Lonchura striata: one gene and its partner. The protein of the gene in region 1 interacts with the protein of each later gene in a pairwise test. Links are inferred from orthologs where the notes say so. Each region holds a gene or a part of one and is shown in the gene's direction. Other genes may lie near its edges.

Region 1 (6,848 bases):
CTTGCCCTGTTTTATTACTTTTTCTAAATCACATGCTGCTGGCTGTTTCAGAAACTAGTTCTAGATGGATCCTTAGACCCATCCTCTACAACAGTTTGTACCTTTTGGTGCAAGAGAAGCTTCAGACTGATAGTCAATTGTAAAGCAGTAGTACAAACAGAATTTTCAGTCTAAGTACACTTACAGCAATCTCCCTTTGGCTTAACTCTTGACTTGAAAAAACTATTCTTGATATGCCCTAGTGTGAGATCACACTAAGGCATGCTTACTCCCTTCAGAAACAATAAAAGAAAAGTCAAAGGAGATAGAGAAAATGAATAATTCTATAGGAAAAATGCTGAGAAAGGTTCAGTTTGCCACAGTTTGGACTGTGGCAACCACTGGATTAATTTTTTAGAGTTAAATTCAAATAAACTGATTTATGTAAGCATTCAACAGTTCAGGGAGAATTCATTCTGCATTGCTCTTTCTCAGACTGGTTGGTTCCTATACTGTGAAATAAACTTTTTTTTTTTTTTTTTGAAAATCTGAGTAATTTAAAAATAAATCAATACAATATATGCTTATGTCAGTGCTTATAAAGTCTCACTCAGGTTTACTCAATTTACTGATTACAAATGGTTTCAAATTAAACTTCTAAGATGCACAGACATGATAAATGTGTCAGTATTTCCATAATAGTTATCACATTATTTTTGAAGATCTGCTGATCCTTTAGCACTTTAGCTATAGCTAAAGCAGGAATTCAAGTGACTATGTTTTTGTAATCCTATTACAGAGACACTGCATCTTAAAAACTTTTTAAACACTTTGCTCAGCTGTTTTCCCCTTATGAATACTTTTATTTTAAGTTTTTATTTTCCAGATAAAAATTTAACAGCTGAATAGAATTTTCTCTGCTTATATTGTGTATTGATTATTGCTTGCCCCCAACTTGTCTGTGATCTAAACATTAATAATCAAGATTTTTTCTTTTACTAATTACACTATCAATCTTCAATCCATATGCAATTGAAGAAATATGTCTTCTAAACATCAAATATTTGTAGTCACTTATAAAAGAGTTTTTAATGTCTTCTAAAAATCTGCCTATTGATTAAGTTCTACTCTAAGTAGTCTCAGAGAAGCTGTATTTTAAAATGTCTTTAAAAATTCACCAAATAAATGGACTGTCTTACTGCACTAATGCAGGCCAACAGTTGGTGTCCTATTGTGCTAAATGCTTTGAAAACACAATGAAATTAAAGTTCTCTGAGCCAAAGGATTTATGTTTAGAAGAGATGATACCCATCAGTAAGTGTTCCAAGAACAGATTGCCGGGTGTCTAAAAACTGTTGCCAGCCAATGCATTAACTGCCTTGGTGCTGTGCCTCAAGGCTGGAAACACTGTGTTCAGTGCTAGGCTGCTTCATGGGATTGGCCAGGATGTTCAGGAACTACCATTTCTTGCTTTGGATCAGGCTTTTCTGTTCCTTGTGCAGGGAACACCTACACTGGGGGATGTTCTGATAAATCTAAGAGGCGTGATAGAGGAAACAGTCACCTTGCTTTCACTCTGATGCTGCACAATTTGCTGTGCACTGGAGTGGAACTGAAAGCTGTTCCAGCATCCATCTTTCTGAAAAGGGAAAGAACATTTGATATTTGCTTAGATCTTGAAAGTAAATTAAATGTTTGAAGAGAAAGAAAAAAAAAAGACTCATTGAGCAATTTAGGTTGCAGGAGCCTTGTGGAAATCATGAAGTCAAACTCCTGCTCAAAGCAGATATATGCAGATTAAATGGCATTGGATCCTGTCCAGTCTAGCTTTAAATGTCTCCAAGAATGGAGATTCCCCATCCTCTCTAAGCAACTTCTAATATTTGGCCTATCTTGTGATGAAAAAAATTCCTTGTGTCTGGATTTTCTCCTATTGCATCCAGATACATTCCCTGTCACCATGATCTCTGTAAGAATCTGGATCCATCATCTCTGTAAGCTTCCTTTAGGTATTTGCATGGACCAGTATAGGCAAGTACGACAGTTTGGCATTTGAAAGCATTGTGCTGGAACAGAACCAAATAACAGTGAAATCAAGCTTTATTTGTTTGTTTCCCACACTGATTCTAAAGGCTCACAGAGATTTCTCTACAGCCACTTGCATGAAAACCACAGAGCAAAAGAAAAACTCTGTAATTTTCAGTCTAGTCTTGTGCATAGCAAGAATAACCCAACTAAAATACCTTAGGTGGCAGAAAGATATTTAAACCACTGTAATTGACCTGGAGAATATCGCTCTAATACAACCACTGGGGGCCATAAATTAAAACTGCCCCTGGGAGATTCTGATAAAAAAATATATATATTTGGGTTGGGTATGGGATGGGAAGGACACTGCTAAAAGTGTAGGCACTGCTGCAGTCTGCAAGGCAGCTCAATGGTATTTGTTGACAAAAGAGCCTTGAGATACACGCAAGGTTTCAATGGTCCTTGTAGAAACTTGGCATCAGAAGGGATAAAAAGTGGTGTACAGCCTCCTCTCTGCCCTGTACTTGTTCTGTGGACTGCAAGTGTCAGAATGATGTCTTTCAAGAATAGTCTTCTGGGAAAGGAATCCACTTCATTTGCTTTCCCATGGAGATTTCACACAAACAGACATTAAAATTGGAAAAGTGTATTATTTTAAATATAAAAAACCAAGGGAAAACAAATCCTAACAATCCATCACACACTTGTTACATATCACAAAAGAGGAACGGCACTTCTCTCCCGCAATGTCCCAGTTAGAGCTTACAATGCACAGGCAGAAAATACCACAGCATTAGTGTTCCTTGTGGAGATCAGATTTGATAGGTGTGACTGGAGAAGAAGAACCCTTTGGGACAAGTGAAACAAGGAAATAAGATACTCCAACCAAATGAGCTCTTCAAAGCAACCCTCTGAGAAAGATACTGGACTGTGACTCCTATTTTTAGTGAGGAATCATATTTAAAGTCTAATGTTAATCTATTCTCTTGGCCAGTTAATACCAAACATAATTAATGCTAGATGTTTATATAAAAATCCCAACAACTGCAATGAGGTTTAGGGAGCTGCTGCAACTGGGCTTTGAAATGTCTGGGGTCTTTTCCCTTGGCTGTTGATCAAAATCATAATATTTTGCCAAACTGTCATTTGATTGTGGAAATAAACTGCTCTTTCCTTTTCACAGCTGTAGCTAAACCTCTGCTTGGAATATAAAATGCTAATATGTAATTAATTTAACAAGTGATTGAAGAGGCAGGAGTAACACTATTCCTATAACAAATGTTTAAGTGTTTTTGAAGCCCAGATATTTAGCTGCATTTGTTCATTATATCCACCAATATTTTCCACTCTCCTTGCAATTAAAATATTCTGGAAACAATACACAATAATCTTCAAGCTATATGTACTGAGAATATTTGCTTATATGCATATATATACACATTTAAAATTTTTCTTAAACTCTTCATAATGTTATGAATCATAAAAGTACTCTTCCTTAGTGAATCCTGTGAAACTTTTCTACCCCTTACTTGTTCCACTTGCTCTAGCATAAAAAAATAGCCCAAATCACATTTTTGATCAAAAACTTAGCTACTTCTGCTACTGAATATATCCAAGAAAGCAATTCATTTGGCTTTTTTTTTTTCCAAGTTGAGTGTTTTTGGAAACTGGTGATTGAAGCTGTCTCTTGAGAACATTAAGAAGGTTTTTAACTCAATTCACAGATCAGAGAAAAACCATGTCCCACTCTGAGAGTCACATTTATTATGAATGTGGGAATCAGTTAAGAGTTTACATATTATTTAAATATTATTTAGCTAATAATGATTAATTATCATTTTATGTCCTCTCAGGTGGAAATCCTTGATTGGGAGACAAAGAAACAGCTATGCTTCCTAGATAAGGTAAAACAAAAATCTGCTTAAAAGACTAGGTGACTTTTTTAGAAATTACTAACTTTTCTTAAGTAAAATTTGGTGTTTATGAAGGGTATTTCATCTACTGGTAGCCATTCCTTGGCCACTTGCAATGATTATGCAAACTTCATACTTACTACAGTGTATTTCAACTCTTTTCCAGAAGGAGCTTTTAGGCAAAAAGGACAACTTCAGTTGCTTTACTAAGAGGGTGCAAGTTGTGTGGTACTCAGAAGCCATCAAATTGTCTCTGCTGTAGTAGTAGTAACTCCTGATCACTGCTAGAGAAGCTGCCTCTGAAACAGGTGTCAAAAATTGTCCTGCCTTTTTCCTGTCAGTTCTTTGAATCCTTTATGCCAAGGCTAGACATCTGTAAGAAATAGTTACATTGTCTAAATCACATTTCTATTTGGCTCAATAGTCTTACACCTAGTAGTTGTCTTTCAAAACTTACATCTTATATTTACAATATTTTTGTTGCCTAGGTGGAACCAAATGCTACAATTAGAGAGATCAGATTGATGTTCCATAAATTATGTGAGTATAACTTCTGCAGCAGCTCACATCCTATCAGAATATCCAGTACATAAATAGGAAAAAACTACATAATTTGAAACTTAATATGCTCACACATAATGCTGATAACCTGCACATGAATGTGATCACAGTGAGATTTCAGTAAAATTATTTTATCCTATCCTGATACAGCTCTGCATTTTTTCTGCTGCGTAATTATCACCTATATTAGTGTTTAATAAATATTTATAAAAACCTTTGAACAAAGGTTTTTTTCTTGTTGTATTGGGTTCATTGTAGTAGTGGGTGATGTAAACTGAACGTTGTATATCACACAACTCTGTATATCCTTACAGATCCTCGGTGGTACCCAGCAAGGCAGTCAATAAAACTTGATCCAAGTAAGTACTTGTGAGGTCTGGAGTAACTAAACTGAGCAGGGCCCTGGCATGAAAGGTGTACTTAAGGGTATTGGCACTTGAGAATCTGTTTCCAGCTGTGCTAATTAGCACTGTGAAGGCTGAAGAGAATCCAGAACAAATACAATTCTTTGGAAGGAAATACAGTTACACCCTGGTGCCTGGTAATTAACTCAGGACTTTGCACCTTGTTCCAATGCACTTTCTTAACTACTGAGCACTGTTGCTTTTCAGAGAGACTGCATAGGATCTAGATACTCACTGCCCTTAGCTGCAGTCAAATGATAACCATGATGCTGCTCAGCTGGGAGTACCAAAAGGGGTTTTAAGTTTGAGCTATCAATGCACATAATCCTGTTCTCAGGCAGGAATTACAGGGCTTTTGATGGAAGCTAATGCAGGAGACATTGCTGTGGATGTAGCAATTGCTGACAAAGCTGATGACAGCTGTCTGACTTCATTAATACACTTGTAGGTATTGCTACTAGAAGCCTCTTATGTGGCCTGAGTCCACAAAAGAAAGTCTAATTGCCAAACTGTGTTAATTAATTTTAGCTAAAATGTAACACTTTCTTCCTTTGCTTTCATTAAGGATAAGTTTATTTAAACAATCCCTTAAAAGTATGCTGGTGAAGATTTGCTCATTGTGTAAAATCTGGACATGGAAAATAGGTGTATGATTATTTGTTTCCTTCTTTGAAGGTCTCTCTTATCAGATTCCTCTAATAATTTATGTAGTGAGACTTGCCATGAGAAAATGCTGGCCTTCTGGAGATTCCTCCAAATCTAGGCATTAAAAGCTCAAGTACAGTGGAATCACCTCCTAGCTGGTTGTTTTGGAAAAGAAGGCATGAAAATTTCTATAGGAGAGTTTTCCAAACACATCTTCTGTTTGTCTGATGATGAGCAATGAGAAGAGCAGTAGAGAGAGTTGCAGCTGACTAGGAGGTCAGTGAACTGTGATAAAGGGCATTGCCCCATCAACAAATTCTGCTGTTGGCAGTGATGAAGAAATTCTACTAGACTAGGCAGGCACATAGGACTGAGAAGTCTTTTTAACTGTTTTGGTGTGAACAGAGGATCCAGGGTTATATGTGATTACAGGGATAAATAAAAAATAAGTGTAAATATTCTTGGTCTTTTTAATGCGATTCCACTAAACCCACATCACATCAAGGCCTCTCATAGATAAAGCACCATATAAAGCTAGTATGCTTCCAAAGTGGACTTCAATGTCACTAAGATGTAATTACTTCTTTCCTTCTCAGAAGGAAAGTCCCTGAGGGATGAAGAAATCCTGCAGCACCTCCCTGTTGGCACAACAGCTACCTTATACTTTAAAGATTTAGGGCCACAGATAGGATGGACTACGGTGAGCTCTGCTTCAAGTCTGAGCCATTTTAATGGCTAGTTTTCCACAGTTAATCCTTACATCACTTTTTGTTTCTCTCCAATATTTCTGCATGATGTTTGCTCTGATAGTGGATGCAGGCAATGAATCCTCATTGCTTCAGTTCATTTAATCAGGGAAAGCAGTAACAGATTGAATGCCTATTTAGTTCCCTGGGAGAGCAGCATTGGAAAACCTGCTTCAGGGTAGGTTGGCTCTACAGAACTAAAATGCAGGTTGTCAAATGGATGTCTACTGCAAAATCATTAGGAACTAGGTATGTAAATGCTTTTGGCAATCTGCTCCACAGGACCTGTGTAACTCTTGACAAAATTAGGATTATACTCCAATGAGCTTGTCCTGCTAAGAGGCATGGGAGCAACTTCACATGTCAGTACTTGAAATGACTTCAGCAAGAAAATGCATAAAATTATGATTACTTGCTGTCTGCATGTGACTGTGTCCCAGGATGCCAGTGACAGGCTAATGGCAGCTAATAATTTCTGCAATATTAGCAGCTATCCACATAGACCTTGCATATTTACTGTCTTAGCTCAAATGCAAATTATATCACAACTCACCTGGGAGGCAACACAGCAC
Region 2 (7,322 bases), on another chromosome or scaffold:
AGCTAAGTTGGCTCCCTGAGATCGACTTTAAAGGCATTGTTGGCCAGACATGCAGTGAATCTCTCCAGTCCTGAGGAATAGGCTGAGCTGTATCTTCTGTAAGGGAAGGTTTGACACAGCCAGCATTGTGACTAGTATGCTGGCATGGATCCTTTCTTGTTTGCTTTAAGCAGAGTCTCACAGACCAAACTTCAAACATTTTTCACTGCCTCTGACTGAGGTGAGCTGTTAGTGTCCTTGTATTTCTGGCAAGCATTAAACATCCAGGTGGTTTCCTGAGATACTCCTGATCTTGCTTTTAGCCAGCTGATCCCACTTTGTCACCTTTCCCTTATGGAGCCTTGTCACTTCAGTGCAGTTGCAGCTGCCTACTTAAGAAACACACAGAAAACACAAAGACTGAGAATATTTTCTGTTTCTAGTCAGTCTAATAAAGACTTATGATTCGTATATATGCTGCTATGAAAAAACAGGTTATTGCACAATCAATGATTTCTCTGTGCATGTCTGTGAATGGAATCCCAGGTTAGTTGAAGTTTTACTTGCATTTATTTGGCAATTGCAAAACAGATTTCAACTGATGATAAGCTGGAAACTCCCACGGATTTTTTGAGTAGCCAAAAAGATAGTAGCCTGGATTACAAACTCCTCTATTCTTAGCAATTTCCAAAGAATCTTAACCTATATAGGACCTATTTCTACCTTATGAGCTTGACTGTCTTGTTTTTGTCTTGAACCTGCACCAGTAAGGCTGTTGCGTTTTTTAAAAACGCAGAAAAACAAAACAAAAAAAATCCAATCCCCATTTTTTTCTCAGAAATGGTTAACACACTCAGACTTAGTAACTTTGCTTTCCTTTCACAGTATTGGCACTTTTTAAGTTTTTCGTCTTGTTCAGAGGTAATATCAGAGGCTGCAAGGTGGTTATGCATAATCTAAAACCAGTGTGTCTTATATCTATGTATCATTCCAAAAGTGATTCTTTCTCTTTTCCACTTTTTGTGTGTAAAGTGCAACCATTTGCATATCAAAGGTTACCTCTTTTAAAAAAAGACATTACCTTAAATCCTCACCATTAAGTAGTCAGTGTACTTTAATACAGGTGTGTACATTATCAGCCTTAGGTTGTTTGATATTACCTAGTTGTGTATGTGTTTCATATGATTTGCTCTTCTACATTCAAAGCTCAGCTAATGTGAGTGACACAACGGTTTGTAACTGCTTTACTCTTTGTTGCTAAATTCAGATTGCCAGCATGTCTTTTCGATTGATACAAACCTCTTGTTATACTAAACACAGTATTGCCACAATTCCTTATACAGAAAGGTTTTGAATCTGATTTAGAGCATACAGAGCTTTCCTCACTTTTTTTTTTTTAATGTTTTAGGCAACAACGGGGTGTATTTTGTACCTTAATAAAAATATGCTAATGTTCTCCCTGTTTGTTAAACCATCAGAATTGCAAAGATGAGACCGCTACGGCTGTAGTTACTCACGGTTCCTAAATAAATACTACCACAAAGCACACTCCTCGTATGCTCTATTGCAGCGTCCCCGCGTTCACCTTGGCCAAGCCTCTCCTCCTGCCCCTGGGAGCTGCTGGAGCTGCTGGCCACACAAACCCCTGAGGTGGCAACAGTGGAGCCTCCCTGATGTCTGTGGTGCTGCTGCCCTTCCCTGCCCAGCTGGTGCTCTGCAGAGCTGCTCTGCCCCGCTGCCACCAGCTGCAGCCTGGGGCTGGCACTCGTGGCCTCGTGCCCTGCCACGGCTCCAGCGTCACCACAGGCCTCCATGGGAACATGGATGGGGCACCAGGGCAGCTCTGGGTTTGTTTCAGAGTTGGGAATTCCCACATGGTGGGGAAACATAGAGTTCTGAAAGTCTGTGGGAGGAGGAGAGAAAAAAATCAGGGAAGCCTCAATGGAGATACGGACTTACACCAATGTTTCTAAAAACTGTAAAGACAGAGATAAGGACAAATCTGCTTGTGCTGCCTTTATTCAGACTTCTGCCAACATGCAGCCCACATCACCACAAGCCATGCAGGACCACACAGACTCTCCTTAAAGCAAAGATTGTGCAAGCACCCTGCTTGTAGCAACGTGCTTCTTGAGCAAATCCTCAGCCCTTCGAAAAGCCATCTTTGCAAGGTGTGCCCCACTGTCTTGTGAATGTACCTGGCTTTGTTCAGTGACTGCTGGTTTCCTGCTGCAGGTGGGCACATGCCTGAAGCAGGAAAAGGTCTGGCTCTGCTGGGCTGCTCTGCGGGCACAGCAAGCTCTGTATCAAAGCCCACTGACTCAGAATTGCTGCTCTTGCACAGATCTTCCCTTCCCTCTCCTCCTTCCCTTTTGTGTTCCACAGGCTATAAACTGCCTATTTTTCTTTTGCCCCAAGGATATTCCAAGGAGTTTACCATCTTCCTCTAGCTTCCTATTAACATCCATTCTAGTCTGCAGGAAACAATGACCTCTACTTCCAAAATTATGTGACATGCATCTGATTCAGCTCTGAGCAATTGACTGCAAGCTGTATTTGACCTTGATTTTTTTTGCTTTGTTTGAAGAATAGAATTCTATTTTCACTGAAGAAAGAAATTTTATGTACTTGAAACCCTGTCTCATTTTGCCAGCCATGGTTTAATAAAAGGCATTACGTCTTTCTATAAACCTTGCCTTGCTTGTATCATGTTTCCAGAAATCCACTCTTGGGGTGCCACAGGGCTGAAACCCCAGTGGCAGAGGTTATACAAGACACTGGTACTGCCTGAAGTGGACCACTTAATTATTGTATTTCTTTTGTATGACATTCAGTCTTCTCAAGAGACAGTGGAGAATTTGGGGCTGGCTGCTGTTTTACATTAGTTGGGTTTCTGGATTTGCAGAAACATAATTTACTTAATGACCATCCTGTCCAACCTCCCAAGCATCCTGTGCACATTTGTCTTTGATGAGGAGACCTTTGTTAATTGCATGTGTGGCATGCAGTCACTGGGTTTCTGCTTCCCTTTGCTGACAAGGAAGATAACACTGGACTGCACACCCCCCTCCTCTGCAGTGACTATCAGACTTTGCAAACAGAGACCTTGTTTTGTTGGTTTTTTTTCTACTTGCATACATGAATAATGGATGATTTGTTTATCGAAATTTTCTTGGTACATTTACTGAAATATTGCACTAAAACATAGCTGTTTGGAAATGGAATTCTCATAAATCATCTTTGCCTTTTGAGACCTATTGTCTGCAAGATACATGCACATGAATTTTTGAGTCACAAAGATACTCACATGGAAGCAGAATTTTCTGAGATGGGGAGTGAGGCTTACGTTGTTACTCTGCATTGCTCATAAAGGGACTGCACCACGACATGCATGGGAAATAAACCGAGAGATGTTTACTGGAGTGGAGAAGTAACTCCACGACGTGTTTACAATTTCTGTAGGAGAGAAAAAATAAAAATTCTTTTTATGGCTGTTCAGAAAGGCCTGACAAGAATGTTTGTTTCTGGGAAAGTAATGCTTTCCAGGCTTTTTGCACTTGTATGGATCTTCGGCAGGAAATGAGTTACAACTTCTCATTCATGCAGCATCACCGAATTGTTAGGGTGGGAAGAGACTCTGGAGATGATCCAGCCCAACCCCTTGTCAAGGCAGGATCGCCTGAGCAGGTGACACAGGAACGTGTCTAGCTGGGTTTGGAATGTCTCCAGAGAGGGAGAGCCCAGGACTTCCCTGGGCAGCCTGTTCAGTGCTCTGCCACCCTCAGTGTAAAGAAGCTCTTCCTCACGCCGAGGTGAAACTTGTGCTAGTTTATGGCCATTGCTCCCTGTCCTGTGGCCGGGCACCACCGAAAAGTCTGGCGCCATCCTCGCCACCCGCCTTTAAGACATTTATGCGCATTAATGGACATCGCCTCTCAGCCTTCTCTCCTCTGAACTATATTATAAAAGTGATGAAAACCTACGAGCTATTCCCTCAATGTAGCGCAGAGACGTTAACAGCGTACCAACTGACGCTGTTAGCGTCTCTAAGGTCACGGCCCGCCTGTTTCTCCCTGCCGAGGGGCGCTTTGGACGAGCCGCGGCGGGCGAGCGCTGAGGCCGCGGGTCCCAGCCGGACACCCCGGCGGGCGCGGGGCGGCGCGGGGCGGGCGCGGGGCGGGCGCGGGGCGGCGCGGGGCGGGCGCGGGGCGGGCGCGGGGCGGCGCGGGGCGGGCGCGGGGCGCGGTCGGTGCCGCGGCTGCGCGGAGCCGCCCCCGCCGGCCCGCGGCAAGTCCCGCCCCGCGCGCGCCGAGCGCCGGCAGCGGGCGGGGCGCGGGAGCCGCGAGATGGCGGCGGCCGGCGGCGGCGGGAGCCGGGCGGACAACGGCTACGGCGGGCAGCAGGCGCGGCGCAGGAAGGGCCCGGGCGCGCTGGCCACGGGCTACCTCGTTATCTACAACGTGGTGATGACGGCGGGGTAAGGAGCGGGCGGGGCCGCCGGCGGGGCGCCGGGGCCGGGGCGCGGAGCTGCGCTCGGCCGGGCTGCGGCCGCGGGTGGGTCCGGCGGGGCAGCGAGGGCGGCGCCGGGCCGGGCTCCCCGCGCCGCAGGGAGCGGGGCCGGGCCGAGAGCAGCGAGCGGCCTCTCCGCCGCCCTGCCCGCGCTCCCGTCCGCCCCGAGCCGCTGCGGCTGCACCGCCCGGCTGCGGCTCCGGTCCGGCCGCGGGGCTGTGCCCCGAGCCCCCGAGCTGTCGGTGGCCCCGCCTGGCGCTCTGGGTAACGCCGAAGCGCGCAGCCGGGCTCGCTGCTCCTCGTGCTGGAGAGCGGCTCCGGCGCGTCCGTGCTCAGCTGCCTTGCCGCTGTCCCGGCTCTCACCGTGCCCGTGATGCGGGCTGGGTGCCCGGGGCCCCCGAGCCTGGCCCTGCCCAGCCCGTGCCAGGCCCCGCAGCTCGGCCTGCCCGCCGTGCCCTGCGGGACGGGCTCCGCACGGCAGCGCGGTGCGCTCGCTGGGAGCTGCCGTGCGGCATCAGTGACACGTTAATGTGCGCTGCAGCAGTTCTCACATCCAGGTGGTTCCTTGCATCACCATGTCACTAGATTTCACTAGAGAGGTGACCCTAAATACAGGGAATTTGTCCACAGCAGTAGTTAAAGGCAAAGATCTTGAGCCCTGCAAGATTTCTCCATAAACCCTTCAGCACTTCTGTAACTTGAGGTTGGAAGCTGCTTTTGGGATATGTGAGCTCCTGGACCAGCCTGGTGCTCTGCCCTCGTCCTGCATAGCAAAATGCAGACTGTGGCCAATTGGTGCTTGCTTGCGTTCTTAGGTACAAAACTAAAAATATTGGCAACTGGGAACTCTCAAGAGAAAGGAGACTTTTTTCTTTTTTTAAATTAATTGTGGCTGTCGAATCTCCGTGGAATCTGGATAAAAATAAAACCATCTTTTGAAAGACTGGGGATATTTGGGTGGGAGAAAAAAAAGCCTTTAAAATAGATCCCAACTGAGCGTGTTTTCTGCTAGATAAACCCAGGCAGGTGAGGAGTCGAGTAAACAGAGTAGTGTCATGTTTGGGAGGAAGGTTAGTGTAGAATTAATATAGATATGATTCACTTCAATAAGGCAGTTGGACATGAAGATTCTTGTCTTTGCTGGTGGCAGCTGATGCTATTTCAGGTTACAAGATATTTACACTTGTATGGATCAGAGGTAGGGGAGCTGAGAGAGCTCAGTTCTTGTGAGGTGCTTGGTACACCCATTGCCCAACAGCTGTGTTACTGTGAAATGTTACTGAGCTGCTTTATGGCTCCATAGGATATTTGCAGGGTATTTCACTCAGAGGGCAAGGATAATTACCCACCAGCTTAATTTAAGTAATCCATTGTTTCAGAAATAATTACGTGAGTAATACAACATATTGCAGGCAGTCAGGAAAACTTTTCAGTTTTGTTGTGGTGTCCCTGCACCATGTTAACAAGTTCACCTCTGAATTCTTCTAAGAAACAAAAGCATTTCCCTGCTTATTTTGTTGCTCATATGCAATTTGCTTGTGTTTATAAAAGACATAAAAAACCTGAGAGAGAAGCTGTGGTATAAATGGAAAGTTTTCTTCGTGGTCATGAACTTTTTGTCATGGCGTGCAAGCTCCTGAGCATGGGAAATTTCTATTTCTTCAGAAGAACAAATTAAAAAAAAATGAGTGCTGGAAACTCAAATAAATAACATAAACCTCTATTTAGCTTTCTGTTGTCATATAAATCTTGATCTCAGTGTTACCGATTTTCTTGATTTAGACCAAACCTCTTAGAAAATTCCACTCTTGGGTTGGATGTGATTTATGTTTTTCTAACATGAGCTGCTTTTTTCTGGAGATGGTTGTGATTAGATGATTTCTGCAATTTGGGGAGTTACATACGAGTTCTGTGGTCATGGTCATATCTCTGTGTTGTCTCTCATTTCTCTTTCGGGGTAGGTCACCAAGAGCTCTCACTGATAATTCCTCTTCAAATGGATGTTGAGTTGGCACTTCCCCTGGACACTGCTGAAATTCCACAATGTACAAGGTTGAGCTTAGGAAAAAAAGCTCAGTTTTTTTCTTTTTATTGTGAAGCCTTTTAAAAAGGTAGTTTTTCTGGAGTTGGTTGACAGAATCACAGTTGTTCAGATTAAAAGATCTAATGATTGATACACAGCTGGTGGCACTGATTATTTACTGGCCCCGTGTCAGTCAGAGTGCTCAGATTTAGTTTCTCCAACTGCACTGCCTTGGAAAGAGAACTGTGAAAAGAAAAAAACCAAAAAATTCAAGATGCCCAAGTGATGAAGTGATGCTCTAACAGCACATTGGGGTTTTTTGGAAGTGGTTTGTTTGGTTTGGTTTACAAAAGGCTTATATACTGAAGGACACATCAAGATAATAGTGCAGTAAATAGGTACTAAAGTAAATGTTCTAAAACCATAGTTGCCTTGACTATCAACTGTATTTAAAATAGATCAAATAACAGTTAAAACATGTCAGCATAGCTACTGTATTTACTTTGCATTTGTCTTGGCTTAGCTAAAGAAAACACAACTTACTCCAAAAATAATAGATCTTGTTTCTAGTTTTATGCTGTAGTGCACGTGGTGTATGGATTCCTACATAAAAAAACCATGCAATGGGTTTTACAAGAGCAAAACTGTACAAAAAGCTTATGTACCTGTGGATCTCTGACTGGAGCTGCATGCATGTACTATTTGGTTCATGTTTTGGGTGGGTATTTTTTTTAGAAAGGGGACAATCATGGTACAACAGGGGATAACCAGTACTGCAGTTGGTTCTCAGCTGTACTTGCTCAGGTTTTAT

The links.
Region 2: the proteins of very-long-chain enoyl-CoA reductase (region 1) and HACD2 interact in binary tests that used the Homo sapiens proteins (3 or more experiments, as listed by UniProt). The link is inferred for Lonchura striata from reciprocal best matches to the Homo sapiens genes TECR and HACD2.

Annotation. Positions count from the first base shown.
Region 1 is NC_134611.1:20,996,591-21,003,438, forward strand, and holds the start of very-long-chain enoyl-CoA reductase, read left to right. Parts: upstream 1-3,830; coding exon 3,831-3,911; intron 3,912-4,408; coding exon 4,409-4,460; intron 4,461-4,795; coding exon 4,796-4,840; intron 4,841-6,126; coding exon 6,127-6,230; intron 6,231-6,848. UniProt on the Homo sapiens protein: Involved in both the production of very long-chain fatty acids for sphingolipid synthesis and the degradation of the sphingosine moiety in sphingolipids through the sphingosine 1-phosphate metabolic pathway.
Region 2 is NC_134610.1:10,617,703-10,625,024, forward strand, and holds the start of HACD2 (very-long-chain (3R)-3-hydroxyacyl-CoA dehydratase 2), read left to right. Parts: upstream 1-4,313; 5' UTR 4,314-4,325; coding exon 4,326-4,456; intron 4,457-6,080; exon of another isoform or gene 6,081-6,484; coding exon of another isoform or gene 6,485-6,540; intron 6,541-7,322. UniProt on the Homo sapiens protein: Catalyzes the third of the very long-chain fatty acids (VLCFA) elongation four-step cycle (condensation, reduction, dehydration, and reduction).